7 linked regions of the Danio rerio genome follow. The protein of the gene in region 7 interacts with the protein of the main gene of each other region in a pairwise test. Links are inferred from orthologs where the notes say so. Each region holds a gene or a part of one and is shown on either strand. Other genes may lie near its edges. The genes, in order: nlk2, prrc2b, tox4a, nudt21, anp32a, lrsam1 and atxn1a.

What was found.
Region 1: the proteins of atxn1a (region 7) and nlk2 interact in binary tests that used the Homo sapiens proteins (3 or more experiments, as listed by UniProt). The link is inferred for Danio rerio from reciprocal best matches to the Homo sapiens genes ATXN1 and NLK.
Region 2: the proteins of atxn1a (region 7) and prrc2b interact in binary tests that used the Homo sapiens proteins (3 or more experiments, as listed by UniProt). The link is inferred for Danio rerio from reciprocal best matches to the Homo sapiens genes ATXN1 and PRRC2B.
Region 3: the proteins of atxn1a (region 7) and tox4a interact in binary tests that used the Homo sapiens proteins (3 or more experiments, as listed by UniProt). The link is inferred for Danio rerio from reciprocal best matches to the Homo sapiens genes ATXN1 and TOX4.
Region 4: the proteins of atxn1a (region 7) and nudt21 interact in binary tests that used the Homo sapiens proteins (3 or more experiments, as listed by UniProt). The link is inferred for Danio rerio from reciprocal best matches to the Homo sapiens genes ATXN1 and NUDT21.
Region 5: the proteins of atxn1a (region 7) and anp32a interact in binary tests that used the Homo sapiens proteins (3 or more experiments, as listed by UniProt). The link is inferred for Danio rerio from reciprocal best matches to the Homo sapiens genes ATXN1 and ANP32A.
Region 6: the proteins of atxn1a (region 7) and lrsam1 interact in binary tests that used the Homo sapiens proteins (3 or more experiments, as listed by UniProt). The link is inferred for Danio rerio from reciprocal best matches to the Homo sapiens genes ATXN1 and LRSAM1.

The regions. Positions count from the first base shown.
Region 1 is NC_133190.1:32,750,437-32,754,464, reverse strand, and holds the start of nlk2 (serine/threonine-protein kinase NLK), read right to left. Parts: upstream 2,801-4,028; 5' UTR 1,847-2,800; coding exon of another isoform or gene 1,785-1,846; 5' UTR 1,727-1,784; coding exon 1,589-1,726; coding exon of another isoform or gene 1,346-1,588; coding exon 1,251-1,345; intron 1-1,250. UniProt on the Homo sapiens protein: Serine/threonine-protein kinase that regulates a number of transcription factors with key roles in cell fate determination. Positive effector of the non-canonical Wnt signaling pathway, acting downstream of WNT5A, MAP3K7/TAK1 and HIPK2.
Region 2 is NC_133180.1:78,417,723-78,421,222, forward strand, and holds part of prrc2b (protein PRRC2B), read right to left. Parts: intron 1,899-3,500; coding exon 1,796-1,898; intron 1,690-1,795; coding exon 1,626-1,689; intron 901-1,625; coding exon 757-900; intron 1-756.
Region 3 is NC_133177.1:41,101,838-41,105,932, reverse strand, and holds the start of tox4a (TOX high mobility group box family member 4-B), read left to right. Parts: upstream 1-1,295; 5' UTR 1,296-1,876; coding exon 1,877-1,981; intron 1,982-2,260; coding exon 2,261-2,320; intron 2,321-3,597; coding exon 3,598-3,900; intron 3,901-4,095. UniProt on the Homo sapiens protein: Transcription factor that modulates cell fate reprogramming from the somatic state to the pluripotent and neuronal fate. In liver, controls the expression of hormone-regulated gluconeogenic genes such as G6PC1 and PCK1.
Region 4 is NC_133193.1:24,124,155-24,128,248, reverse strand, and holds the start of nudt21 (cleavage and polyadenylation specificity factor subunit 5), read left to right. Parts: upstream 1-1,294; 5' UTR 1,295-1,420; coding exon 1,421-1,539; intron 1,540-3,857; coding exon 3,858-4,058; intron 4,059-4,094. UniProt on the Homo sapiens protein: Component of the cleavage factor Im (CFIm) complex that functions as an activator of the pre-mRNA 3'-end cleavage and polyadenylation processing required for the maturation of pre-mRNA into functional mRNAs.
Region 5 is NC_133182.1:33,399,583-33,403,830, forward strand, and holds the start of anp32a (acidic leucine-rich nuclear phosphoprotein 32 family member A), read right to left. Parts: upstream 2,801-4,248; 5' UTR 2,725-2,800; coding exon of another isoform or gene 2,714-2,724; coding exon 2,660-2,713; intron 535-2,659; coding exon 385-534; intron 288-384; coding exon 165-287; intron 1-164. UniProt on the Homo sapiens protein: Multifunctional protein that is involved in the regulation of many processes including tumor suppression, apoptosis, cell cycle progression or transcription. Promotes apoptosis by favouring the activation of caspase-9/CASP9 and allowing apoptosome formation.
Region 6 is NC_133180.1:33,499,860-33,504,129, forward strand, and holds the start of lrsam1 (E3 ubiquitin-protein ligase LRSAM1), read right to left. Parts: upstream 2,801-4,270; coding exon 2,732-2,800; intron 2,604-2,731; coding exon 2,547-2,603; intron 2,467-2,546; coding exon 2,422-2,466; intron 2,340-2,421; coding exon 2,262-2,339; intron 2,172-2,261; coding exon 2,103-2,171; intron 1,625-2,102; coding exon 1,540-1,624; intron 907-1,539; coding exon 785-906; intron 651-784; coding exon 560-650; intron 277-559; coding exon 167-276; intron 56-166; coding exon 26-55; intron 1-25. Other genes in the region: rpl12 (large ribosomal subunit protein uL11), read left to right, coding at 3,461-3,497.
Region 7 is NC_133194.1:34,920,948-34,924,447, reverse strand, and holds part of atxn1a (ataxin-1a), read right to left. Parts: intron 1,533-3,500; coding exon 972-1,532; 3' UTR 1-971. UniProt on the Homo sapiens protein: Chromatin-binding factor that repress Notch signaling in the absence of Notch intracellular domain by acting as a CBF1 corepressor. Binds to the HEY promoter and might assist, along with NCOR2, RBPJ-mediated repression. Binds RNA in vitro.

The sequences.
Region 1 (4,028 bases), on a different chromosome or scaffold from region 7:
CACAATACAAATAAAACAGATTTTAATACGAATTTCAACAAATAAAAACCCTTTATGTGTCTTTGTAAAGCTTTTCATGGTAATGTTTACTTTCTCATTTAGGGAAACTCCTGAGATAAATAAATAAGTTATATCTCTGAACTTTAATAAAAAGGCTGCGCTTCCCACCTCAAGTCTCAATCACTATTGGGACTTCTAGAGCTAGTTTGGTGCTCAAGTCTGTATTGGTGCATCCTCGATACCAAGAACGCATCCGGGAACCTTTCCACATCCTCCGTTCTTGCGGTCTTGAGTTTTGGAACTGATCTATGGCAGTTAATTATGACATCGCTGAAGAACACATATTGAGAGACAGCCAGAGCTTGATTAGCAGGTTGAGGTGTGTTCAGTTGGGGTTGAAACTAAAATATGCAGGACACCGGCCCTCCAGAATCAAGTCTGGACCCAATGGCCTAGAGCACCACCTGATGTTAATGCCGAAGTTCTGAATCAATTCAATAGAGAATACCAAACTGAATAGACTTATTGCTACAGCTCTTATAAATGCACTTTGCTTGTTCGACTCTGTAGCAACATTTTAAGTCCTTTAGGAATTAAAGAAATGAATGAATCTAGTGACTTCTTGAACAAGACTCATCGACATGACATCATCTGCCATTTATCATGCAGACTTCAACTACTTTCCACTGAAAGCTTTTGCAACAATTAGTGGCATGGGTGTCATAATTACTCTGTTTTATAGATTACAACTTGTAGAAGCTGTTCACATTCTAGTACAACTCAAAATACAAGAGTTTCTGAGCAACTGCTTGTACCATGTGACCAGTAAATCACCTAACTGTGACATATTGATTAAGATTCTAAGTAAAGACGTTAACAATAAGTCCATACAAAAGACTAATTGCAAGTCAGCCGACATGAACAGCTGGTGTTGTCATCTCAAAATAACAGTAAGGTGTGAACTTATGCCACAGCTAGTCATGTGACAAACATGGCGGCACCCATGAGGGGTGTACCAGCTCTGTGTGACATAATAACAAAACTTTTTTCTATTCTGCGTATGTATTTTTAATAATCATATCTTGCACAACATTATAATAAACTTTTAAAATGCACATATTAATAGATCATAAAAACTTGTTGTTTAGATTTACATAAACATTAGGCTAATGTTCAAGAGCCCTTTTGAAGTCGTCAGAAGAAGCATTATTTAGAGCATTCTCTGTTAACACAGAAGTTGTTCCACTCACCAAACCACGCCGAAAGCTCCGTATCCGATCGGTCTGTCCGGCTCTATATCCAGCTGTTGTTGTAAGTGATGCGAGTGTTGGTGGTGGTGATGGTGCACCTTTACAGCGGCCGCGGCGGCGGCTTGCACCTGTGCTGGGGCTGCAGCGGCCGCCGGCCCCGGAGCTTGTCCAGGAGCGGGCGAGGGGAAGTACGGCTGCTGCTGGCTCGGGTTCAGCATCACCGCCGCCGCCGCCGCAGCAGCAGCGGCCGCGGCCGTAGAAGCGTGCTGCTGTACGGGGTGCACGGCGGCGGCCGAGCCGGGGTGCTGGAGGTGATGCTGGCCAGCGTGGTGATGGTGGTGGAGGTGGGCGGGTGGCGGGAGATGTGGCAGCTGGTGGTGATGGTGCGGGTGATGCGCTGCCACTGCCGCGGTGCCGCCGTTGTACGCAGCCATCATTTTCGCGGCATTGGAAGCCGTGGTTCCGCACAGAGCCATTCACTCACTCAACAGCCCGAAATGAGAGGTGGAAAAACAAAACAAAGAGGCGAACGAGATGGAGTGGGAGGCTGCCAAGATGTCAAACTCTCATTTGGCCGTCATAGAGCCAAACGACGGGTAAAATCAAAGCATAAATGTCCGGCATACATCAAGACGAGAGTGAAAAGGTGTCATACTAACAACTCTTCAGCTTTGATCTGACCTACTTCGGAGAATCTTTACGCGTTGTACGTTTCAGACTAGCAAAATGACAAGCGCGGACATCCAAGAACCCTCAAGCGGAGGGTAAACAAAAGAAAAGTAAAAAAGGAGAGAGGGATTAAATCAAAAGAATGCGCTCCCCCCATAATAAATCAATTCCGCACGGCCTTAAATCTCCCTCATGTCGGAGGCATGAGGAGCACCTTGCTTCGGCTCGAAACTCGGGCTTGCGCGGAAAGAAGGGAAATTAGGCGAACAGTACAAGTTACGGGGGATATGCAACATTCATCTTTTGGATTTCTTCATATTTGCCATTTTGGGCTCTTCCAGCCCTGTTTCCACCGCCAGGGCTGCATGCAGTTTGCAGAAGTTACGCGGATCTCAATCAGGCCACCGCTGCTGCTGACTTGGTACTTGCTCGCCAGCTTACTTGTTTACATGTACATTAAAACGCGCAATTCTCCCGCACGAAAAGACTGCTACACTGGATCGATCCGGGAAGCTTGTTTTGCAGTATGGCGCTCTGTTGCCGCTTTCTGTTGCGCTCGAGCCCTCCTAAGCTGTAGATGGATAGCTGCTCCAGATCCTCTCCAAATGTCAAAATCCTCTCGAAACACCCATCACGCTGATCAACACAGCAATCCGTTTCCCTGGAACAAGGAAAACATTCTTCCGAAGCCCTTCAACTTATTTTCCCCATCGATAGCGATGCGCTCGTTCACCGGCGTGCCGCGTTCCTGCTCTCGAAATCGTGGGCATGTATACATCCAGTGAAGAAGAAATCAAAAGAAAAACATCCAGTGTTCCTTGCAGCCAGAAAACAGGCGGCCAGCGTCCTCACCCCCTCGCCGGATGGTGCTGCCAGGACCTGGGAAGGCACACGCGCAACCCTGCCGTCTTGGGTACCCGTCTATTCCTTGTCCGTTGACAGCTCTCTGCACCAATCACCTCGCGGCTCTGAAGCAGCACAGCCAATCAGCGGACGAGAGGAAGAGACGCAGGTCCAGCCATAATAAACTGGCCCTTGTTGCATGTGGAAGCAAGCGCCATTACGGCTACAGCATACTGTAAAAGACAGTGCGAGTCTACGGAGCCGTTGAGCCGAAATGGAGAGCGAGGGGGCCCACGTACCCAGAGATATTACGCGAGACATGCCATCCAATTAGCACCTGCCGTTGAAGTGAGTCTCTCGTCTGAAAGGAGACACATGATTCGCTGTCCAATCGTTTTTCAAATCGAAGGCAAAATGCAGAACAAGGACGGTCAAACATTATACAATATTTATTAAATATAATACAGTTCGCGAAGTTTATAGTAGTTTTCACTCTACATTAACATACGCTTAATTTGAGTGATGCATAATATTTATAATAAATATGTCGGTATATTTAGTAAAACTACATTTCTAAACTTAATAATTAGTATAGATATTACAGAAACACTTACCACTTGACACTTATCATCTACCACTTTTACTTATATGTTAGTTTTGTTGTTTTTGTTTATTAATTATGATGTCCAAGTTTATAAATAAATAAAAATACAGATCATTACTTTCAGTTTCTGTTTGTTTCAATTGGTACTTATGTGTTATTCATTGTATTACTTGTAATTACTTTATAATTATTTATGAAACTTACTTGCACGTATGATATAAATAAAGCTTTATTTGAGTAATGTGTAGTATTCTAAAAATATATGTCGGTATATTTAGTAACAATACATTTTTAAACTTAATTATTAGTATAAATATTACAGAAACACCACGTGGCACTTATCATCTATCACTTGTAGGTATATGTTCATTTTTGTTTATTTGTTTTAATGTCCAGGTTTATAAATAAATAAAAATAATGATCATTTTACTTTCAGTTTTTGTTTGTTTCAAGTCTTAATTATATGGGTAATTCAGGTCCGTATAGTTCGAAAGATACACCCCTCACTGACAAAGGTCCAAGTTTTGTCCCATATATTAACTGGTCTTATTTTAACTGCTCTATATTATTTAATTAGGGGTTGCCACAACGGAATGAACCACCTATTATTATTATTATTATTATTATTATTATTATTATTATTATTATTATCATGTTTTAAT
Region 2 (3,500 bases), on a different chromosome or scaffold from region 7:
TCTGGGTTCAGCTCCAGCCAATAGCAGAACAGAAACTACTTTGAAGGCGGGGTTAAAGTTAACAAGATCTGATTGGTCAAATTTAGATAAACAACCAATGCATAAATTGAATGCAATTAATCACATGTCTGTGATGCGTGGTAGGCTCATGGTAACCTTTGATTTGGCCCACCATCCCATCTGAGAAGAGAGTGATGGAGATGGTTTAGATGGTGTCATTTCAAATTTAAAATGACAACCTTTAGTCTGCTTGTTTTATTGTAAAGCCACAAAAAAAAGCGAATTGAAATGAAATGTTTAAATTTAAATGCTGTAATTTAGTTTATAATGTGCATACTGTCACCCGACAGATAGAGGACAGTGCAGAGACTTTAGTGAGCAAATCAAGGCAAAGGCAGACTCTGCTTGACTAGTGTATTCAGTGTTCAATGTTTTATTGCAATAAGTTATAATTAAATAATTTCTATTTATTTTGAAATATTCTGAAATAAATAAGGGAAATTACCCACAGCAACTTTATTGTAAAATAGTTTGGTATATTCATCTTCACCCCACGGCTCTCAATGATATTTGGTTTTTTGCCCTTCATATGAAAATCTTTGGGCATCCCCGGTATGAAAGATTTACTATCATCATGATAATTTGCATTTGTGCTTTGACTGAACGAAGCTCTCAGGGTGTGGAACGAGTAATTAATGACCGAATCTTCATTTTTGGGTCTTTAATCGTAACGTCGGTGTGTAGAGCTGGACTCACTCTGCGGGCGGAGGCTTGGTCCGGGCCCATACGACGGATCGAAGACGCTTCTTTCCTTGCCAACTTTGTCCTGTTCTCCTGCTGCCTTCAGCGTCGGAAAATCCTCGTGAGAGAAGGGCTGCAGTCGGCTTGAGACCTTTAAACCTGAAACACAATCACACACATTTGAGTTTTGTTTATTTATTGGCATTCAGCAACTTATGCATATTTCATGTAAAAATAATGGTGAAAACGTGACATAATAATAACTTCAGAATTCAGTAAGAGATGATCCAAACAGAAACAATTACATTACAACATGTTCAGTTCAACAGATAACACAAACACCACAGATCAAATAGCATTTATATTTATTATATATTATTAGCATTACAAATTATACTCCAAGGTGTTGCTTTAAATATGATTTTTTACAGTATAAGCATTTCAATGCATATTGTACTGTGTATGTGTAAAACTAAGAGCTGTGAATAGTAATAATAATGCCATCAAAATAAAGTGTTTCTCATGATTTACTTTATCATCACAATATTGAGCCGAGCTAAAAAATTACTTTAAAATATATATTAAAAATCATAGCAAAAATGTTCATATATCAATATATATTCATGGTTATACTGTATTTTGTTTATAGTACTAGTCAAGTTTAGACACATGAATAGGTATGTGTCCTTTTGACTGATACTGTACTCTGCATATGAAGAATATCGGCCGATATACATCGATATCGGTACTTATTTAGTCTGATATCGGTATCTGAAATAAAATTGGTCATGCTCTAATATTAATATAACACACATGCACAGTCTTGACATGCTGAATCATTGAATATCTGCATATTATCCGCAGAGAGAGCTGAAAATCATTACCATCTTGATCGACTGCCTTTCCATTGAGCTGTGCCCATTGCTTTGGTCCACCTGTACTTGTGCTCTGCAGGAACAGAAAACACACACACTCGTGATTATAACCTTTACTCATACACCACACTCACACACGTGATTATGACCTTTACTCATGTACAACACACACGCCGTACCTCCGGGCTGGTTATTGGCATGGGCTTCTGAAGATTGGACACAGATTTCTGTAAAGCCAGCGGCGGCTGCGGCTCCGGCAGCTGTGCTGATGATGCAACGGAACTGCAGGAGGAAACACACACACACACACTCTGATCAGCCAATCAGATGACAGATTCAATGCATATCAATAAATGCATCAGCTCACATCCAGAAATAGAGCTGGGTATTTAGAGAACAAAGTAAAATAAAGAGTACGAGTGTTTCTAAAAGTGCAGCTATGTTTAGCATCTCCAATATTAACCTATTCTTTTTATAAACAAACTTAAATAGATAATGCAATAATAATGCAAGTTCTCAAATATTAATAATAATAATAATAATAATAGTGTTTGTATGAGTATTTAGGTAGAGTTTTGTTTGGAAAATATGAACTTAAAGACACCAGCTATGTGTATTTTAGTAGATTAATGATGTGTTGACTCGGTTACTGTGAGATTTCAGTCAATATTTCAGCACTTTTTAAAACCATAACATGATGAAGAGCATAATATTGTATTAGATACGCCATGCAGAGTCTGCTTTGAGGTTAGCATCTGCAGCTAAAGCACACACTGCTGGAAAATGTCACCCGAGTATAATATTATGAATATTTTGGGTGCGCTGCCCCTTTAAATCATAGCATTTAAGACTGAATATTTGCTGTGACATTGAAACAGATCCACTTTATCTGTATGATAACTGCAGCTGTAATAACATCCTCATAATCTCCAAACACACAGGACCGACACCGTCACATGAGCATCTCTCCTTTTGCACACAAGCCTTTAATATATGCAGATCTGCACGACACAATCAGTGTGACCTACAGATGCACCTGCTGTAAACACACACACACACACACACACACACACACACACACACACACCTCAATCTGTCCTTCAGTTCACACTTAGAGCTGCAGTGCAGTTTATATCTTAGTTTCTCTCTGTAAATAAGGCTGCCATTACACCTGTACGTCTTAAAGATCATGACACTTCACAATTCTCAATAGCAAAGCAGAACGGCACTAACAAACAACACAACAGTATTCAAATATACACATATTACGAAGTATATAAATATGGTCACTGTATGTATTAAAGATGACCTTTCTGTCGAGAGCAGAGAGTGAGTTTGTCTTTTATTATTCGTTTATTAATAATAAGCTCAGCTGACAGCAGGAATATAGCGCACTGTCCCTTTAAGAGCTGCACAGATGCAGTACACTGATGCACATGCATGTTCATCCTCAACTCTTACTGTTTAATCATCGCATGACAAGAAAAACTGATCACGTCACATGATTCTACATGAAATTGAGCTGAAGAAGGAGGAGGGATTTAATCAAAGTCCCTTTCAAAAAAGTCTGTTCACTCGGCGGCCATATTTGTAACGCCCTCGGGGAGCACATGCCCACCCAAAATCCTTTATAAATGAACGGGCAACTCCTGAAATCTCCAAATCTGCTTGCTGAACTCTGGATTGAATTACATATTACAAATCAACAAGGCGTCACAGTGGCTCAGTGGTCAGCACTGTGGCCTCATAGCAAGAAGGTCTCTGGTTTGAGTCTCGGCTGGGTCAGTGTGTGTTTCTGTGTGGAGTTTGCATGTTCTCCCCGTGTTGGTGTGGATTTCCTCCGGGTGCTCCGGTTACAGTCCAAACACATGCGCTATAGGGGAA
Region 3 (4,095 bases), on a different chromosome or scaffold from region 7:
GGATCAAATCTTTAACATGGGTTTTTCAAAAGAAAAAATGGATTACATAATTGGATAAGATCACTTTGATCCAAAAAATCTGGATTAAACTGATCCCATCAGAAAGGTGGATTTCATGCCCAAAATGTAATGTAAAATGTATCAAATAATACTATATTTGGATTATGCAGTATGTAACAAGGTATCCTATTTATTCATAAGGTTTTAATTGTATTTGTTCATCCGTCATGCTACAGTCATTAGGTAGGCTTTAACGTATTCAGTCTTACAGTATAGGCCTACAGCAAAGTAGAAAGAGTTTGGCCTCATAAAAAAATCCCCCAAACAGCTGTCAAAACTGACCAAAAACAATACATTTTATTCTGTCAATATGATCATATTGTATATTCATCACAATGGAAAATATTTTTGTTTTAGAATATTTATTAGTGATGCATGCAATGATTACAGAATAATAAAAAAAATGCAAAGAATGACAATCACTGATATTTAAATCACTTTCAACAATAGCAAAAAGAGACTGAAAGGGCAGAAGCACAGCTTCATCTGGCAGACTAACAACTGACTCTGACCAAACTGCAGCAAACCAAGACTAGACCTGAGATCCGCCCATAAAAGAAATGACAATGCCTGTACTTTGTGTGTATAGTATGCTGCTAAGTCTTACTTTTTGTATGTTTAATAATAGAAAAATTACGATGCCTGTTTTTTATTTATATTGTTTGCAAATATAGACATCAGTTAACATCTTAATGAAATTAAAAATATCCAGATAACACAAACAAAAATGTAAATTTATGAAATAGACAAAATTAAATAGACATAATTAAAACAAAACAAGATATTATGTTGTAATGGCTTGGGGAGATTGAGAAACTACATGAATTTATTCGTTTCAAATTCAACAACGCATAAGGCCATAATTGCTGTTGTTTAAAACGTTTTTTTTTACAATTAAATAACTAACCAACCTCTTAAAGATGGTTGACAACACTGACTGTGACTGGTCCTGCTTGAAGTTCGCTGAGAAAAGTAACGCCAGCCTTGTGAGTTGTGATGATCACAGTAGTAAAGTAAAAAAGTGATGGTGGCCGTGACCATTGAATGAATTACATAAAGTGTGGGGAGTTAAAAGAGAAAAAAATGCTCCACATTACAGGAACCGCGCGGGTCGTGTTAAATACTGCCAGGAGAAGGTTTTCAGGATTTGGACACAAATGAACTTATGACCGGAATGCGATTAATAAGACTTGCAAGTTGCAAACAGACAAACATAGCAGAGTACCGATCGAATCGGTCCATTTTAGCACTGGCAGAAGCTATCCATGCTAGTGAGACTCTCTAGGCAAACTTTGTTTGTTCAATCTGAATATATATTAAAAGTGTACAGTTTATAGTGTTATTTAATGGAATGTTGGATTTTACATTCAGCGAACAGGCGAATTCTCTGCCCTCGAGGCCTGTGTTATGAATGAAACCTCATGTTGGGGTTTAACAGCAGCGCTTCTGCGAACTAGCACGAATTAGCCAGTTAACGTTAGCTCAATTTGTTAGTGGCTAAATTGGTAAGCCTTCACCTACCACTCATCATAAACGCTTTTAACGGCTCTGGTTGTATTAACGCTGCTCTGTGGATCGTCTAATGAAGTTTATTGACGTTATTCAGTCGAGCAGCACAAACCTTATGCCGAACAATACAAGATGCTGTGTTGCTTGGCTCTTTTCTTTTGCTGACTAGCATTATTTCCCATTCATTATTTGTATTTTTGGTTGCTTTAGTCTGTTGCTTTTGGAATATTAGCAGCCCACTCGTTCCTCATATCAAGAAACCCAACAGACATTATTTATATATTTATCTAGTATTTATAGTATCCTCATGGATCTGAATTTTTACACGGAACTCTCTGACGGGACCGGTCAACATGTTGATTCCGAGTTTATGGACAACTCGTCCTACAATGGATATGATTCAGTAAACAAGGTAAGTCTGGCTGCTTTGTGTGTATATATATATATATATATATATATATATATATATATATATATATATATATATATATACATACATATATATATATATATATATATATATATATATATATATATATATATATATATATATATACATATACATATATATATATATATATATATATATATATATATATATATATATATATATATATATTCAGTTCAACGTAACTATATAATAAAACGCGTTTGCATGTGGTTATTGCACCTTTTAACATCCGTTTATTAGTTTGCAGGTGGCAGTGATTCATACCTGACCACCAGTGGACCTGGTCATCATTTTCTTGAGGTAGTGCTTCTTTTTGGACTGTTTTCTGAGCTAGCTTAAATTGACTAAATGTATTATTTTAAGCTTTACAGCGTCAAAGCATGCAATATAATGTTATATATCTTAATTTGTTTCCATTAGTGACTAAAGTGTCTCTGGATTTATTTAAATTTTGTGATCAAAAGATGACTATAAATCTTTTTACCTTGTTTTATAAAATACACCATATAAAACGTTAGCACATCAATAGTTTGTGTTAAAATAAATGCTTGTCAGGAATATTTATAACAAGACTTATATTTATAACTTGGTAAAATATTAAAAGTCTAATAATGATCACACAGCAGCCCCAACATGCATTTATAATTACTGTCTCTCCTTTAAACTTTTTAGTTTTTTACCCAAAATAAAAAAAAGTTTGCAATGTTAAAAAATGATTATCTCTCATCATTTTATATATATTTTTAATTGGCACAAATTTGAAAAAGTATGTTGTTTAATTTTTATGAAATCAATGTGATGATTTTGAGACATTATTTCACTCATATTCTCAGATTTAATTTTCAGAAAGATCTTCCTAATATTAAAGTAGACATTTAAGTGTAATATGTTTTGATATCTTTAATAAATTAAGTTTGATGCAGGCACTAGAATGGGACATCTTGTGTATTTTTTTATATACATGTTTTTATATTTTATTTCTGAAAATTTTTATGCAACTTTCTACCTTGCCATAAAAAAATTAGGTTTTCACCAACATAGCGAAACTCTTTCTAGGTTTTGTTTGTCTAGGCTTGTATTCAACAGGACTGCAAAAATACTCAAAGATGTCTCTGTCAATATTTTCAAACAATTATATTTGATTTACCAAAGTCACACAAGTGGCAAGAGATGTCACATCCATAACAAAGATTTTTCCTTATAAATGTGAAAATATAAAATAAAATCAGTCATTTTTGTTCTATAGAGAGCAAACATGTATTCTTTTGATCATCATTATTTCTTTTAGATTGTCCAATTTAATTCACAGAACTTGTACAAAGTACGTTGCATACTGTAAACTTTTTTGGTCACATCCATCACGTATGTTTATTTTCCTCATATAAAATAAACAAATGTTTACAGATTGATATTTTTCTGATCCCATAACTCTGTGGTGAGTTGTTTTGGAAAATATAAACAGATGTTTTAACAAAGTTAATATATAATTTCTCTGTGAATTTATGTTCTGAGATTTTACTGCAAATGTCGCATCCATAGCGCTGGAATTGCTCTTATGTCTTTATTTTTCATTTCAGAAAACATTCTATACACCCTGTCTGGGTGATGAAGAGTTCGAAATCCCAATCTCCTTGGATCCAGACTCTGCTCTCACCATAGAGGATGTGGAGGCACATTTTGGAGAGCTGGCCGAACAGGCTGAGAGCTCAAGGGGTGCTGGAGTTGGAAGTGTTCTTGCCAGTAATACTGTAGTTGGGGGAAATGATCCATCTTTTGCCTCCACCTTCATGAATCCCTCATCTCAGGGTATGGAGCACCTGACTTTGGGTGTGATGAACCAGCAGGGCGGAAGTGCACTGCTGAGCTCAACTCTGGGTGTGGTAAGCTTTTCTCTTTCTAGCAGTGGCAGCAGTGTCTGCATCGTGTTTGCTAAAGGAAATCCAGCACTTGTTTCTAATGGATTATAAAATGCTAGATAGGGCTGCATGATATTGAAAAGATCTGACATTGTGATATTTTTTTCCTGCGATATTTATTGCGATTTGAATACATTTTAACCAGATGGCTTGAATAGC
Region 4 (4,094 bases), on a different chromosome or scaffold from region 7:
AAGCACAGGTGTCAAACTCAGTTCCTGATGGACCACAGCTCTGCACAGTTTAGCTTAACCCTAATTAAACAAACCTGATTAAACTAATTGAGTCCTTCAGGTTTCAGGTAAGTATATCGAAGCAGGGTTGAAGCTAAACTGTGCAAGGTTGCGGCCCTCCAGGAACTGAGTTTGACATTCCTGGCTTAAAGAATGGCAATAATTGATCACATGTTTAGCAAAATATGCAAGTGATTCAGTGTAGGCTAACTTGTTGTGCCTCCAACACAGGTAGAAAAGAATTCTGACCCAGATATGGCATATATCTGGCAGGGCAGGCATTTGTCTGGCACTGGCATACAGCATGTAGGCCAAACATGGCCCTGGTTTGGCAGAGGTGGCACCGTCTTTAAGACGGCACACAATAGGCCTACTCGGGCCAGATGTTAACAATTGATATATGAGCCATGAACGTTAGGCTTATCTTGACCCACATTTAAAATACATTTTTATTATTTTCAAATAAAGAAAAAAATTCTACCAAGTACCAATCATCGCTTCGAGAAAAAGCAAGCCCATAGCATGCCTAAAGCGCAATGATCCCTGAGTATATCAATTTCATTGCAGACGGGATACAAAAACATATCTGGTGAAGTTTAGGCTCAGTTATGGGTTATTAACTTGTCTGAGACTTGGCCCAGATATTGTCCATGTTTGGTCCTTGTCTAAAAGCCAGAATTGGTCCACTCATATACCATAATTTACTGCCGCAAGTGGGCCAAGCAAAAGCTGATTATGTGGGCCAGATATTTTTTGATATGTGGGAATAGCACCGACTGATGATGTTTTAAAAACACCAAAGGTCCGTATAAAGTATTAAAAAAACTGTTCTGTTTACATTAAAGCAAAAATTAGGCTACGTATACACAAAGCAATCTTGCAAACATTAAATGGTAAAATTCCCTAAATAACTATTACAGGCTATATAAGTGGTTTAATTGTTACTGTCTTTTTCTGATTAATACATGGTTTAATAATCTAGTTTGGACATTTCTGTGGTATTCTTGTGTTTGTGATGTCAGGTTAACAGACACCAAAACACGCCTTGTAGCAGGCAGAAAAGTGTAATAAACAACCACAAACCCTCTGTTTGAAGGGTAAGGGTTTGAATCGTGTCTGGACTGTTCAAACCCACTACTTATAATGTGGAAAACAACTCTTGCTCATAGATCAGATGAGAAAAATCTGAAGAGCCGAAACACACGGTCGTAACACAGGAAGTAACCCAATGTCCCGGATGTGCTTTCACAGCAGAGCGCCGTATTCCAGTTTTCATCGAGCGCCAAGGCTGTGCAATTCAATCACAGTAATAAAGTAATCAACGTGGAAAAAAACGCGATTAGTGCAAATATTAGGAAGTGATTTAATAATCCGTCATACGATGTCAGTTGTACCTCCTAATCGATCATCTACCGGTTGGCCTCGAGGAGTAAATCAGTTCGGCAATAAATACATTACCCAGGCGACTAAACCCCTCACCCTGGAGAGAACAATCAACCTGTGAGTAACTTGAACTTAAAATTCAACACTACAAACGATATATGCGATTACTTAAACAAGCTTTAATGGTTGTAAATCCTAGTGCTGCTGCATTGTGCCTTTCATGTCAGTACGTTAGCATTGTTAGCGTTTGACCATGGCAGACTACCGTAGCTTCTTGCTGCCAGCTCTTGTTTGCATGCGTAACAATACAGTGAAATATTCAGAGTTTTGTTTTTTATGTGGCAAAATGCATGCACATTTATGGCAGTGTGTACATATGCAGGGATATTGAAATATAAGAGTTCGATATAGTTCTTATTAGTTTTGTATTCCATATGTTGCAGTTAGCATTGTTCTCGGTGATTTATCCTAGGGCTCTTTGCACATTTATTCGAAAATATCACTAACATTAGTCGACAGGCGCAATGTTATTGAAATGTTATTTGATTATTTGTGGTTTATGGTGTTATTTGTTATTATTTTGGTGTAACGTTAAGTATGACTTAGAAATCAAACAGTCGAATTCTTGAGCAAGTTACGTAAACAAATCCCAATCATTGATTATATTGAGTGACGGTAGAATTGTTATTATAATTGTTGATTTTGTTAATAACGCTAACCTTATGCCAATGTTAATCAAATATTAATATGAATGATCTTTAATGTAAATTCAAATTTGATATTGAAACCCTTATTTGGGAGTATTATTTTTAATTTGTACAAAAAGCTGTATGAAAACACAATGGAATGAAACGCCCATAATAGGCGAGCACAAGATCCAAATTACACTTTGTATAAAATTAATAAATGATTGCTCTTTTAAAGGTAGGACCTGTGAAATAAAATAAAAAGTAAAAATAAAGCTTTTTAGATGTTAGTTTTGAGGATATCTATAAGCTAGTGTGCTCAAACAGTGACTCAATTTGCGTTATAAGATATATACACATCTAAAGCCCGCAGTTTGTCACTTCCGCCTAATCTATGATTATTCATAGGTCACTTCATGTTTTACTTACTCACCAAATCTTGACCAATCAAATGCTCTCTAGTATGTGAGCATAAACCCCACCCCCTGCCAAGATGGTTCTCATTTGCTATTCATTTGATGCCTTAAGCTCAAACACTCTCATTGGCAGAGATTGTTTGTGATAAAAACAAAACGCTATTCTCTGTTTTTATTTTCTAAAGGGGAGGAACTGCCACCATTTCATTATGTTTCAGTTGAGATTACCTCAAACATGGAATATAAATGCCCATTTCAAAGCACTTCACAAAACCTTTAAACATTCAAAATACCACAGATTGGTAATGCCTTCTGGTCAAAATTAGAGCAGCACAATATTAGGGAGAAATTACCAAGTGATATTTTAATCCTCTGCGATGTACATTGCGATAATTTTACTAGATGAAATGAGTAGGTCTATTCAAAAAGAATTCATAATTTAGGTGATTTATTAAGGGAGTGATTTTGCAATAATATACAGTAACAAACCAATCACAAGCTTTGATAAATACAGTTGGGAATCTGGCATAATTCAGACGCACAGATACATGAACCATTGGATTTTAATAACTTTTTGAAATAATTATGATGAAATGCATCCTCCATTACATAAATTGTGACTTTTTGTGACCCCTTGATATGCAACCACTTATTTGAAAACAAGATTCTTAAAGGTTTTGAAGCTTTATGGAAATTTACATGACTAGCGGCTAGGGCTGCACTGTATTTGAAAAATCTAACATTGGGATATGTTTTTGTTCTGTGACATAAATTGCAATATAAATACAATTTTACAAGCCTATTTGGAAAGAATTAGAAATTTTAGATTGATTGGGATGATTTTGTAGAAGAGTGCATGCATAAAAAAATAAGAAACAAGCATAGAAAAATTCAATAAAGAAAAATACAAATTACATAAACAGTGTTTTATTGTTTTTGAGGAGTCAAACTGCATTTAGGTGTACAGTAAATGATTAATTGTAAAATAAAACAAGCAAATTCATCATTATTATTTTTTAGTTAAAAGCTGTACACATGCTGTTAAAACCCTCACACAATCACAGGCCTCAAAAACACTTGAAATATTGTAAATTATAACCCAGACTCAACATTGCATATACTCGTGATTTGACTATTGCGAATGTTCACATTGCGATATCAATGCTGAAACGATATATTGTGCAGCCCTACTACTAGCGGCCACATACAGTGCTTGCCATCTTTTTTCCCTCATTATTTTGTTATGATGCTATGTTTTGTTTTGCAGTGTGTGGATTATTAAAGCTTTATCACACCTCAATTTAAATGAAATAACATGTTTGTTTTTCCAAAGATACCCTCTTACAAATTACACATTCGGCACCAAGGAGCCGCTCTATGAGAAGGACAGCTCGGTAGCCGCACGCTTTCAGCGGATGCGGGAAGAATTTGAGAAAATCGGGATGCGGCGGACTGTGGAGGGTGTTCTGATCGTGCACGAGCACAGACTCCCTCATGTTCTGCTACTTCAGCTGGGGACAACCTTCTTCAAACTGTAAGCTATAGATTGTGTGTTGTGGATGTGATGAAT
Region 5 (4,248 bases), on a different chromosome or scaffold from region 7:
AGGAAAGAGGACAGTGAAAAAAACAAACACTGATAAGCATTTGACAACCAACAACAAAATTTTGAGGTTTGTAGTCGGTATTGGTAATACTTCCACACATCAATATTAATAATAAATGTTTATCAGCACATGACTCCGTTAGCACTAGTATGAACGCAGCTTACCAGGGGTTCGATGGTGCTGAGGTCTTTAATTTTGTTGCCACTGAGGTTGAGATGGGTGAGGTTGGGACATTTCCCTGCCAGTACCTCCAGACCCCCTGAGATTCTGTTATCGCTGAGCTCGAGCTGCGGAGAACATGATTCAGTAGCAAATTAATAAGACCTAGCAAAACTTTACACCGCTGGCACTTGTGAAAAAAATTAACAAGAAGCTGCTCGTTACCTTTTTGAGTTTGTTAAGCTTCGGCAAATTGGTGACTGATGTTAAGCCTACATTGATTGTGCTTAAAAATTCCAGTTCCTCAAACTCATCAGTGAGGCCCTCGATTTTGCCCTCATTTGACCGACAGTTGTCGAGCACAAGCTCTTTCACCTGTTCAAGGGCACATGAGAAGAAAAGGATATTAAAATGTTATGATTAATTAATAAAGCATTTGTTAGTCTGTACCTGCAACTTCAAAACAATTAGATGAACGAGGTGGTTAAATCAGCTGTTTGTAACTTCTTCAGTTTGCTTCTAATGTTATTGTTTACCACCAAAAAGCTAACCATATTAAAACTCACATAAAAAGGCACATTTTCATTTACTGTCTACATAATAATCAGCAATTACAGTGTCCTCTAAGTATGTTTTAGTCGATTATTTTATTGATTCCCACGTAGGAAATGTCATTTAAAATACACATTAGTGTAAAAGAAATTTCGTTTAAATGGTTTATAATTCTCAGAAATTACTTTTATATGGCATACAACACATTCATCCTCGAAGATAATTGGCTAAAGATAGAAAAAAACTGAGCACAATAAACACGCCACGACCGAGTCGGGCGCCATTCAGTTGTTAAGTTTACTTCAGCATGCGGTCTACAGTAACAGATAGGGGTGCGTGTTTGGGTGCTTTGACAAAACCTCACATTTGACTCTCCATCCAACAAAATGGCTGACTCCGCAACAAGCGGCGTACATTGTTTTCTCATTGGGAGAACATTTTACTATAGTGCGTGCTGGAACAGCAAAGCGAAGACGCGTAAACGATAGCCTGGGTGTTACACAAATGCATTACATTGTCTTGGAAGAGCGAAGACACGAGGACGGACCCAAGAATTCACGAGTAGGAGGGGCAGAGAGGCGCATGATAATGCAACGGACTCGCTCTTTAAGCGAAAGGTATTGACTTTCACGGAATAAAAATTAAATGTCCCGGCTTTAAACGGGCTCGGCTCTCGGTATTCAGCGCCTCTGCTCGGTTCAAAGCACGGAGACGAAGGCGGCGACGATTCTCTGCTCGATTAAATATCGTGCGTCTTTGTTGCTGGTTAAAATGGCGGCTTGTCCTAGATCTTGCAACTAGAGCAGCGCAGCTTCAAGTTGCGTAGCGCTCACATAAGCGCCCAGTCTGTCAATAACAAGCCGAGCCACACGGCTAAAAATCTCTTTATCCAGCCAGTGGAGACGCACAGAAGTGGCCAGAACACGGTTATGACATTTTAATTACGAGTTCTATTACAGCGTATTGGGGTATGCGTAATGGGGCAATGACGGGGTCCCTGATTATTGTTGCTCTGAATTCATCAGAGAACGTGGTTACACTTCAGATATCGTAAGATAAACACGGAGGACACAAGTGAAAGAGGGAATACCGATTTGGGTTTTGCATTCTGGCAATGTCGTCGACATATGCAGTTTTAAATAGGCTTGGGAACCTTTACGCAACAAGATACACTCTGACACGATTCTTTCTATAGCCAACAACAAATGTGTTCATATGTTTTTACAGTCATAACCAAACCAAATACGCGATGATTAGCAACGTGCCGAAAGCCCACGGAAAGATCCCGCCTAAGTATTTACACAACTTTCTTTGATTGAGAAACGAAAATGTTTTCCATTCCGGCTCAAATCCGTCAATAAAAGCCGTTTGCTGGAGAGATGCCACCAAATTTAGTTGACCGATCGGGTTATCGCGAGCTATCTGTCAAATCGTCTGCACAGCAATCCACAAAATGCGTCCCACAACAAGTTACCGAACTGGCCAACGACCACTGTGACTGGCAAGTATGAATGTTGAATTGAAAATGGATGTGCGAAAGTGTGAGAGAGGCATGAACTGACGGCGGGCGACTTTTGCAGCACTGAGGATGCAAAGGAAAAGGGCGCGTTCAGGGGCTACAAAGTTACAAATATGGCTTCTCACGCCGCTTCCCTTGTTTATACACTGAATGCATGCAGCTCTTGCAGTCTCAGACCACAGCATCACCAAAAGGTCTCGCGAAAGTTGGGGAAATTCGTCGGGAAAACTGGTAAACTTATGGGCCGCGTGAAGGTAGACTGAGATAACAACATCCAAGGCTCTAGGCTCGCAACAAAGTCGCCGCAAACTTTTCATTCAAGACATCAACTTGACGCGTGCACATCTAGTGTTGTCCATCCACGCAGAACTACTCTAACCAACAGTTTTAATAAAATCATATCACTCAGCAATTAATAAAGATGCTTACGTCTGACGGCGTCCGGTTCCGCAACTCCAGGTGAATTCTCTTTTTCATATCCATCTCTGTGAACTCTAAATGAGTGATTTAAACCAAAGAGCGCAGTTAGACTTGGAGTCTTTGCTGCACATTCAGCTATAGCCTCTTAACAAACTAGCTATTGCGAGTCTCACAAACATGATGCCTCAGAAGGTGGGAGTTGGGTGTGGGATTGTCGTCACCAGCGACCAATTAGAAACGCGCAACGGAATGTGAAAACACTCACAACTGAGCTGACGGCCAATCAGCGGCCGATTACAAACTGGGTGGGGTTACAGGAACAGTTAGGTTGATCCTGCGAATCTGTTTTAGGGTGACATCTATGCGATAAAATCAACCGAACTGGCGAAGGCGCCAGATACTAAATAGAGGTTATGGTAGTTGCTTTAGTTTTGAGTGGGGTTATGTACGCTAAGTTGAAGATAAACGAGTTATTTGTCTACCAAGGCGCTTTGAAATTAATAAAATTAAACGCAATGAAGCCCGCAAGGATCGTGTGAACGAGGGTGGTAAACATAAATATTTAGTCAGAGTGCTGCTTTCTGTTTTGAAGCATATAATTTCCTATCAGGTAAGTGCAGTCAGTCACTTTGGACTGATGGATGGTAGACCGTCAGGAAAACACGACCCCTCCCCCTTTTGGAGGGAATGCACGGTGGCGACCACTGACACTATCTGCGCTAAAATCTTCAATACTTATATTCTAGTTTACAGTGAACACAAAGTACGACACTGCGTGTAAGCATGAGTGTGATTGAAGCAGTGGCCGTTTTTGTCCCCGCTTAGATAAATGCTGATATGTAAACAACATGATGGTTTTAACATATGGATCATAATTAGTGAAAGCGAACAAAGTGACTGTTGCATAACAGTATGAGACGTACAGATTGTAACATCCCGACATCTCTAACGCTGTAAGTGGTGATATGACATGAATCGACGTAGTTTAATTATTACATCCGAGCCCAGCTATACGGCAGAGCCCATAAGTTACCAGTCTTATTAAAAACAAGTTTGTCACATGCACTTGACTGCCACATCGCACACTCCAACCACGAGCCCACGCTTTTTCCTACAGTTCAAACCGGCCAATCGTATTTCAGGGGGAGCATTCACTTCCGCTTCTCGCTTTGACTATTGTTGGTATTGAGGGGGAAAAAAACAAGGTCACCTGACTGTTCCCGGCGCCATCTTAATTCGCAAAATACAACACATTCAAATAATTATAATACCATTTATTGACTTTTAAAACGAACAAAAAGCAGCAGACTTTACCTATATTTGATGTCATGTCTGTGTGTCGCTCCGCTACCCCTTAGAAACAACTGTAGAGCAACTGCTTGGCGCATGATTGTTTTCACAAGTGCACCGGCTGGGTTGTTTGTTGAGAGAGCGCATTTCACTGGCGAATTTGTCGTTTTACAACGTTATTTCGAAATCACTTCACACCAGGACATTTTGCCCTTGAAGACAACAGAAAAAAAAATCTTCTTCTCTCGATCTGGCCACTGACTCCAACCCGCGCAAGCGGGCTGCTCTCAAGCCCTTTTGATTGTACT
Region 6 (4,270 bases), on a different chromosome or scaffold from region 7:
CAACACAAAACTTAATCAAACATACCTTTCTTTTCTCATAGTCCATAAATTTGTTCTACAGTAAGAGAGAGAATACAAGATAACATCACAAATGTATGGCATTGATAGAACAATGGCACAGAAAGAAATGTGAGCACTGTTTAACAATAATGAGATTTAGACTGACCTGCCAGACTATCTCCTCACCATCAACACAGTCCATCTCCTGCTTCCCTCCATCATGCTCCAGCACAGGCAGGAGATACTGAGATGGAGGACAATACTCCAGACCCATATCTGTATAACATCAAAAATAAATGCTGAAATACAGATAATGCACAGAATGGCTGCCATATGGGATTGCAACCAAATCTGCATAATCTGTATAGCATGCACTCTGTATTTATTGGTCTGAATCTAGACAGACAGTAACGAATAAATATTAAAATACAGTGGTTGCCAGCAATTTCAACTCATATCTCCCCACTGTTTTGGGGGCTCCTGGATGGGAACCACTGCTGCAAACTGGTCTGTAAAATACAGTTGCTTTGTTGCAGAGACTGTGAAAACAGAGGTGTACCTGAGCAGAGGTAGCGCTGCACTTCCTCTGTGCCGCCTGTACACACTGACGCAGGTGGAAAGCTCATAACCTGTGCGTCCAGGATCAGGCTCTGAAACCACACATATACAAATATGAGAATGAGATCCCAGATATGAGTGGACACAGAGTTTATGAGCTTGATGTGATATTACACAAATATGTGTCTTGTTTTGATTTACTGAAATTGACATATAAGGTACTCACTTCCAGAGTGCGAACACTGGCCAGTTCTTTGGGTAATTCTCTGATGCTGTTCTCACTTATGTCGAGTGTCCGCAGGCTGCTCATGCGACCCACAGACACAGGCAACACAGTAAGGCAGTTCCCTGTATGCGTCAAAACATTGTCATTCGTTTAATCTTTTTTATTTCCACTTCATTTTTAAAATTGTGCCTAAAACCTAAAGTAAATTAAGACAAAAGTCATATGACGGTCACATTTTCAATGTTCTGAAAGACTTTTCAAACTTGAAACCGGCAAGCCCGAGTCATTCTAAAAAAGCATCATTGATTGTATCAAAGCAGCACATCAGCAGTTTACATAAAGGCATTAGCACATTTGATGGCATACAGTTTATAAAAGGTAAAAACTAAACTCTAAATGTTGCATTTTCTCTTAGTATTTTAGTTTTTTCCCCAAATGCTAGTTTTTTAAGCAACTAACAATAACAATGTATCACTACTTGCATGGTTTTAATGTTTAGTATCACAATGCAGGGTTTATAGTTCAGGGTAAAAAGCAGTACTAACCCCTCTTCTCAGTTTCCTGTAGGCAACATTTATTAACCCACTGATAACAATGTTTTGAACAAGAATAATCCAGGGTTAAGCACACAGAAATTAAGTTAACATGAAAAATGTTTAACAACTAAATGGAATATATTCCAGGAAGACAAAGTGATGAAAACAATTAAAAAATGAATATTATATGAACAAAAATAGATATTTTTAAAAACAAACCTTTTACATTAAGTGTCTGTAGATGCAGAAGACCTCCTATAGTGTCTGGCAGCTGTTTGATCTGGTTTTTCTCTGCATTTAGCACCTTAGAGAAAAAAACATGTTTTATGAAAGCAACAAATATAAAGTACTCTAGTTATTACAAAACATACACAGCAATTCAGTTGATATTGTTGGATTATTAACAATGAGGTTGATAACATTGTAATATTTATGAACAAATAAATCTTCTGCTTACCAAGGCTGCATTCAATTAATGCAATAAAAGTATTAATAAAATATGTATTTTTTTAATTTTCTTTTGATAATTTAAAAAAATTATGTTGTATCCCAATTTTTCAGAAATCATCCAGATATGGTGAGTTGGTGCACAGTAAAAAACTGCTGTTAACTTATCTATAAATATATATATATATATATATATATATATATATATATATATATATATATATATATATATATATATATATATATATATATATATATATATATTATTCTATTAGCATATTATTCTGTTTTTAGATTGTACAATTCAGAACTTTGATCTTATAAAATAGATATACCTGCAAGGACGAAAGCTGTCCGATCTCATCTGGAAGTGATGTGAGCTTATTTTCATGTAGATCCAAGACCTTTAGAATGAACAAAGAGATGTTATAACTAGACAATATAGCGAGACAGTTATTTATTTTTCATTGGTGACATCAGTCAGTTTCTCTCACCTTTAATGTTGCTAAGGCACCAAGACAGCAGCCTTTAGGTACGAGTGACCTCAGGTCATTTGTATGAAGAATTAACACCTACAGTTAAAGAAAAAACTGCTTTCAAAATTGTATTCGCTCCGACCACCAACAGTTCAGAGAAAGAAATATACAGACTCACTTTCTTCTGAAGCACTTTACACATAGAGAAGGCACAGGAGGGAACCTGAAGAAGCAGATATTTCATCATTTCATCATTTGTCCACAATGAAAATAGGGATTGTCACTAAGGTGTCTGAAGTGTACCTCTGAAAGCTCACAGGCAGAAATGTCCAGAATGTCATCAGCACCTGCTTCTTTGGCCTGCACAAAACATAGGCATGTGTTTTAGGATCTGCACTGTGGACGTTGCTTTAAAAAGAGGCTCTGCTCACACTTATAATCTCTATCAGTAACAAATGTGGGTGCGTTGCAAAGCAACAGACACTCACCAAACACAGCTGGTACTCGAGACGTTTCCTGGAATCGCCACTGGGTTTTTTCTTTTTGAACAAAAACATCGTGAGGCTTAGCGAGATTTTATTTGTCTAGTTAAAACCCCACAACATCCACTGGACGGTTCAGTGTGAAACCTGACTGAATGTGATGTTGACAATCTCCAAGAACGCCCTGAACTAATAGAAGTAGGACAAAAAAACACAAAAACAAACGCGTAAACTGACAAATAATAATTATTCAATATCCATAACCCTTCACAAATGTCCCGCTTTCATCAGTCTAAAGACTGGCTACGACAATTGCGCAACATTACCTTTATAAACAAGTGGACGTAACGTTACCTGCTGAACGATGGATATTCGCAAATAACCGTTAGTCCTATAGCTGATATATGTTATGAAAACATAGGTTCTCTGAGATGTTTCTTAATCAATTTACTGTCCTGTGATACCTAGCATACTCCCTCTCGGACAGTACACCACAAACACCAGGAACAACTTCTCGGATGTTGTGAATGACGTAATGCGTCGCCGCAGTGTGAAAGGTTGCCAAGTTCTCGCGATACTTCGTCGCCTTTATATTCTCAGCTTGCGCTCTCTTCGGCCTTTTCCTTTTTCACTTTTGTGGTGAAGGTGCAACAGTTTTCGGTCGTCCCGAATCCGGGTTCATCCGACACCCTCACCAATTCCAATTGAAGTGAACTCAACTTCATCTGATACACCATGCCTCCTAAATTCGACCCCAACGAGATTAAAGTTGGTATGTGTGAGGAATACTGTAACGTTTCGACGGGTTTTTGAGCGTGACCAAGCGGCCATGTTTGTGCTCTGGGCTCCAGAGCGCCGGGACTATAATAAACGATGAATGGGTAAAACTACTGAGCTTTATCTAACCGAACAATTTTAAACTTAATGTCTAATCGGATTGAATGTTATGTGTCTTTAGAAGTGCCAGCTGCGGCTTATTTTAACGATTCATCGTAAGCTTTGAAACGTGATTAATGTGCTCTAGTTCAGCAGTTTGCTGCACACGTGATCATCATGGAACTCGTGTCTTTAGCTTAATAGTGCAGAATAGTCTGTAGAATTGTCAAATACGTTATGTAGTTTTAACGTGCCTTTTATTTTAAACGTGCAATAGTAAGTTACAAATAATAGAAATTGCAGTACAACTGCTGCATATAAAGTTTATCATTTTATAAAGATCAACATTAGCGTTTATTCAAAAATGCATATAAAATATACCATTAAAAAGTTAGCGCTATTATTTAATGTACATTATTCGCCTTTAAGCTGAAAGTAACCAGGTGAATTTTATTGACTTGTCTTGATCAAATGGACAATCGAAGTTGCCCGTTACTTAAATTATAGCTTTGGTGACTAAGTACAATGTAGAACTCCAGCTAGTGTTCTTTTAACAACTTTGGGGGGGGGGGGGGAATTTCTGCAAACAATGGTATATTTATAATGCCATACTTTGTCTCTCTATAGGCCAGTTTGCCCATTTTCTTTTCGGTTGTAGCATAATTATTA
Region 7 (3,500 bases):
ACTGCACTAAAACAAAAGACTGGTCGATTTCCTCACCCATTGTGTTTGTATGCATCAAGATACATCCATGCATATATATTCATAGACAAGAACCCATTCTGTGTCTACATACAAAAAAATGACCCCTGATTGCAAGGTTGACACATTCATCACAAAAAAAGGGAGGGAAACATAAGAAAAATCTACCCATCAGGTATGATAGGAGGGTTTGAAAAGTAAGACATGCAAAACTACAAAAATAGTCAAATAAAAGGTTAGACAGTTGGATATATAAAAATAGATTCGTCCATCTTCCCTGTTTAAAGTGATAGTTTCGTCTTTTCTGAGGAGCAAACTGGCACCGCTCAATGACATCATCTCTCTTGGCCTGTACCATAGTATTTGGAAACTTCTTTTTGCACTTCAATAAACGTTAACAGAATCTTTGCTAGTCTAACTGTGCTGACCATACTGCTCTATATTGTTAGGATCGATTTGGATAGTCTCTTGTAGTCACAGTTAAACAAGATGGCTGACATCATGTAAACTCCTGCAACCAGTGGAGGAGTGATTTCCGTTCTGCCACCACATTCACACCACTTGTTCATCTTCCCTTACTAACATTTTTAGGTTCAGCAAGCGAATGTTTTAATTGCCACTAAGTGTCGTTTGTAAGCCAAAAGAATTTTGTAGGTGAGAGACTAGAGAGACGTCTTGTCAGCTGTGAGTAATTTTATATGCCGGAGCCTTCAGGATAACATGCCGTCTCACAACCTTCTCACCTTGCTCTACATCCACCTTGAATTTGACCAATCAATTGAATTGCACCAATTGCCTGTGTAAAATTGAATTCCTCAATTACAATGTTAGATGTGATAACATAGATACTGAGTAAATTTTGCCTTTAGGAAAAGAAATCTGGACAACAGAACAATTAAAAACATTCTGAGGGCAAATTTTGCAATTTTAAAAGCAGACAGTCCGACGCATGTTCACTTTCCAATATTTGATCTGCCTTCGATACTGATTTTAACCTCCTGAGGGATGAAAGAAGGCTTAGGGAACGTTAAAGGGGGCTCTCCTTCTGGATTTTCTACTTTACGACCCTCAGGGGCAGACCACCTTCTTTTTCGACCTGTGGGTTTACTGCTGGTCTCTGATTCTGTGAGTGTTGGAGCTTTGCAGTTGTCCCTTTCACCAAACCTCAGTTCTCCGTTTTCTCTATTGCCTTGACCGCCTCTACTTCCTTGATCTGCACACTGCCCGAGTCCATTTTCCTGTTCTGTGTGCCGAACACCCCCTCGTGCGCCACTTGAGAGTGCTTTTGGTGATTTAAGAGGTGGACCGAGTGCAGGTGCATCCAAGACTTGCCCCTGGCTCTTCTTGATGGAACCGTTCCTCAGGTTCTTCAGGGTGAGGGAGATGCAGACGTCACCCACTGAAAGCTTGGTGCATGGCAGCTCGAGCAGCTGAGTAGTCCGATCCGGACAACAAGATGACCAGCCCTGGCCGAACACAAAGAAAGGATACTCTACTAGTACCTCCACACTGACCTGCAAAAGAAAAAGGGAGTCAAAAAGAGAGGACAATGACTTCCGAAAGTAGAAGTCGTGCACAAATGCCTGATGATATGAATGAATGTCTTTGCTAAAAAGCATCTGTTAATCAGTGCCTCTCGAAATGACAGACTTTAGAACTGCTTTCGAGTGGGTGGCCCCATCTCAACTCCCAGACAAATGAAGCAGATTTTTCATACAGCCCACTCACAGTACAACAGAAGGAAGCAGAAATAAGGAATGACTCAATTCTGCCAGTGAATCCCACACAAACTAAACAAAGATGCCATGGGGACAGCCAGGGGAGGGATTATGGAACAGGGAGATGATTTCAGCTGCCAATTTGCCCCACATCTACTTACACTGATTGAGTGCAGGTGGAGTTCATATAAGGGGACATTCACACTCTCACAGCATATAAAAATATAAACTTAATGACTACCATATGCTTATTCAAAGCGAGATGATGAAGTTGCACGGAAGATGTAAAGTAAAAAAAAAAAGATCCCTGGGCAATTGCAAATGCTGTAAAGATTTTTAACTGACAATTGTTAAACATGAAATTAAATTACCCATCTTTGGAATCCATCTGCATATTATGAAACCGTCATAATATTTGGCCAATTTGCCAAGATATTTCAACTGTAATCACACCTCATAAAATGGCATGATTCAAATAACTGCAATTTGGATTCTAATGTAAATGATATACTTCAAATATGCACTGTATATAATTAAAGGTGCAGTAGGTGATCTGCCAAAACGATAACCCCTTAGCATATTATATTGGGACGGCGGGGAGGGACTGTGATTCAAAGCTACACCCCCTGAAATCGCGAGCGCGCGCACCGCGTTACAACAGCAGACAGACAACCCACTAGTTCATGTAATTCGCCAGTTAGTCAGTGCCAGTGCTGTGCGGGAATTACATTTATTACTTAGCCACACTTACATGCTATTTCAGACAGATTATTCAGAGTAGCATGGTAAACAGTATAGGAAGGCTGTCATTGTTCAAAAATGACCCAATGTGAATATAAAAGCAACTTCAGCTCAATAAAGTAGGCTAGGCAAAATAGCGCTATTTACTGATGTTTTCTTGTTAAACTAAACATAAATCTACATCAGTGGTCACCAAACTTGTTCCTGGAGGGCCGGTGTCCTGCAGATTTTTGTTCCAATCCTAATCAAACACACCTGAACAAGCTAATCAAGGTCTTACTTGGTATACTTGAAACATCCAGGCTGGTGCGTTGAGGCAAGTTGGAGCAAAACCCTGCAGGGACACCGGCCCTCCAGGACCGAGATTGGTGACCCCTGATCTACATCATCGATGCTGTAAAAGGACCTTATGAAACTGAAAATAATCACATCAATCTTTCACCGGGAGATTTCAGGGTCTGAACAACACGTCTGTGCATATAAGTCATTCATAGCAGAACACAATCTAACATAAGCTTAGCCTGACTAAAATAGTTTTAAAACAGAACATTACATGTCTAACAGTAATACTTCAGCCATGATGTCGTCCTTCCACCAGCCTGCTAAAGTAACTCCAATATTGATTCAGGTTTTTAAAAGTTTCAATTAAGCATTTGATTTCTACCGGTCCGTCTCGTGACCGCGCGGCCGCTTATGCAGACGGGCACGTCCTAATGGCGGATCTGCGTGAACAGATGCGCAGAAGTCCGAATCTACATTTGCTGACAGACAGTCTGACCTGCTTATCGGAATTATGGGAGATGTCGGTCTGACTCTATTTAATTGGATGAACATTTTTTAGTTTTATGCCTTAACCAGAATATAAAAATACATATAAACACATTTAGATTATTTACTGTAATCATTACTATTGGACTGTAAAGAGACTTTCAACCAGTACAACAAAAAGTGTTTCTGAAGACAATCACCTACTGCACCTTTAATAACAAACAGTTATGGAATGTTCATATAAACATTAAAAAA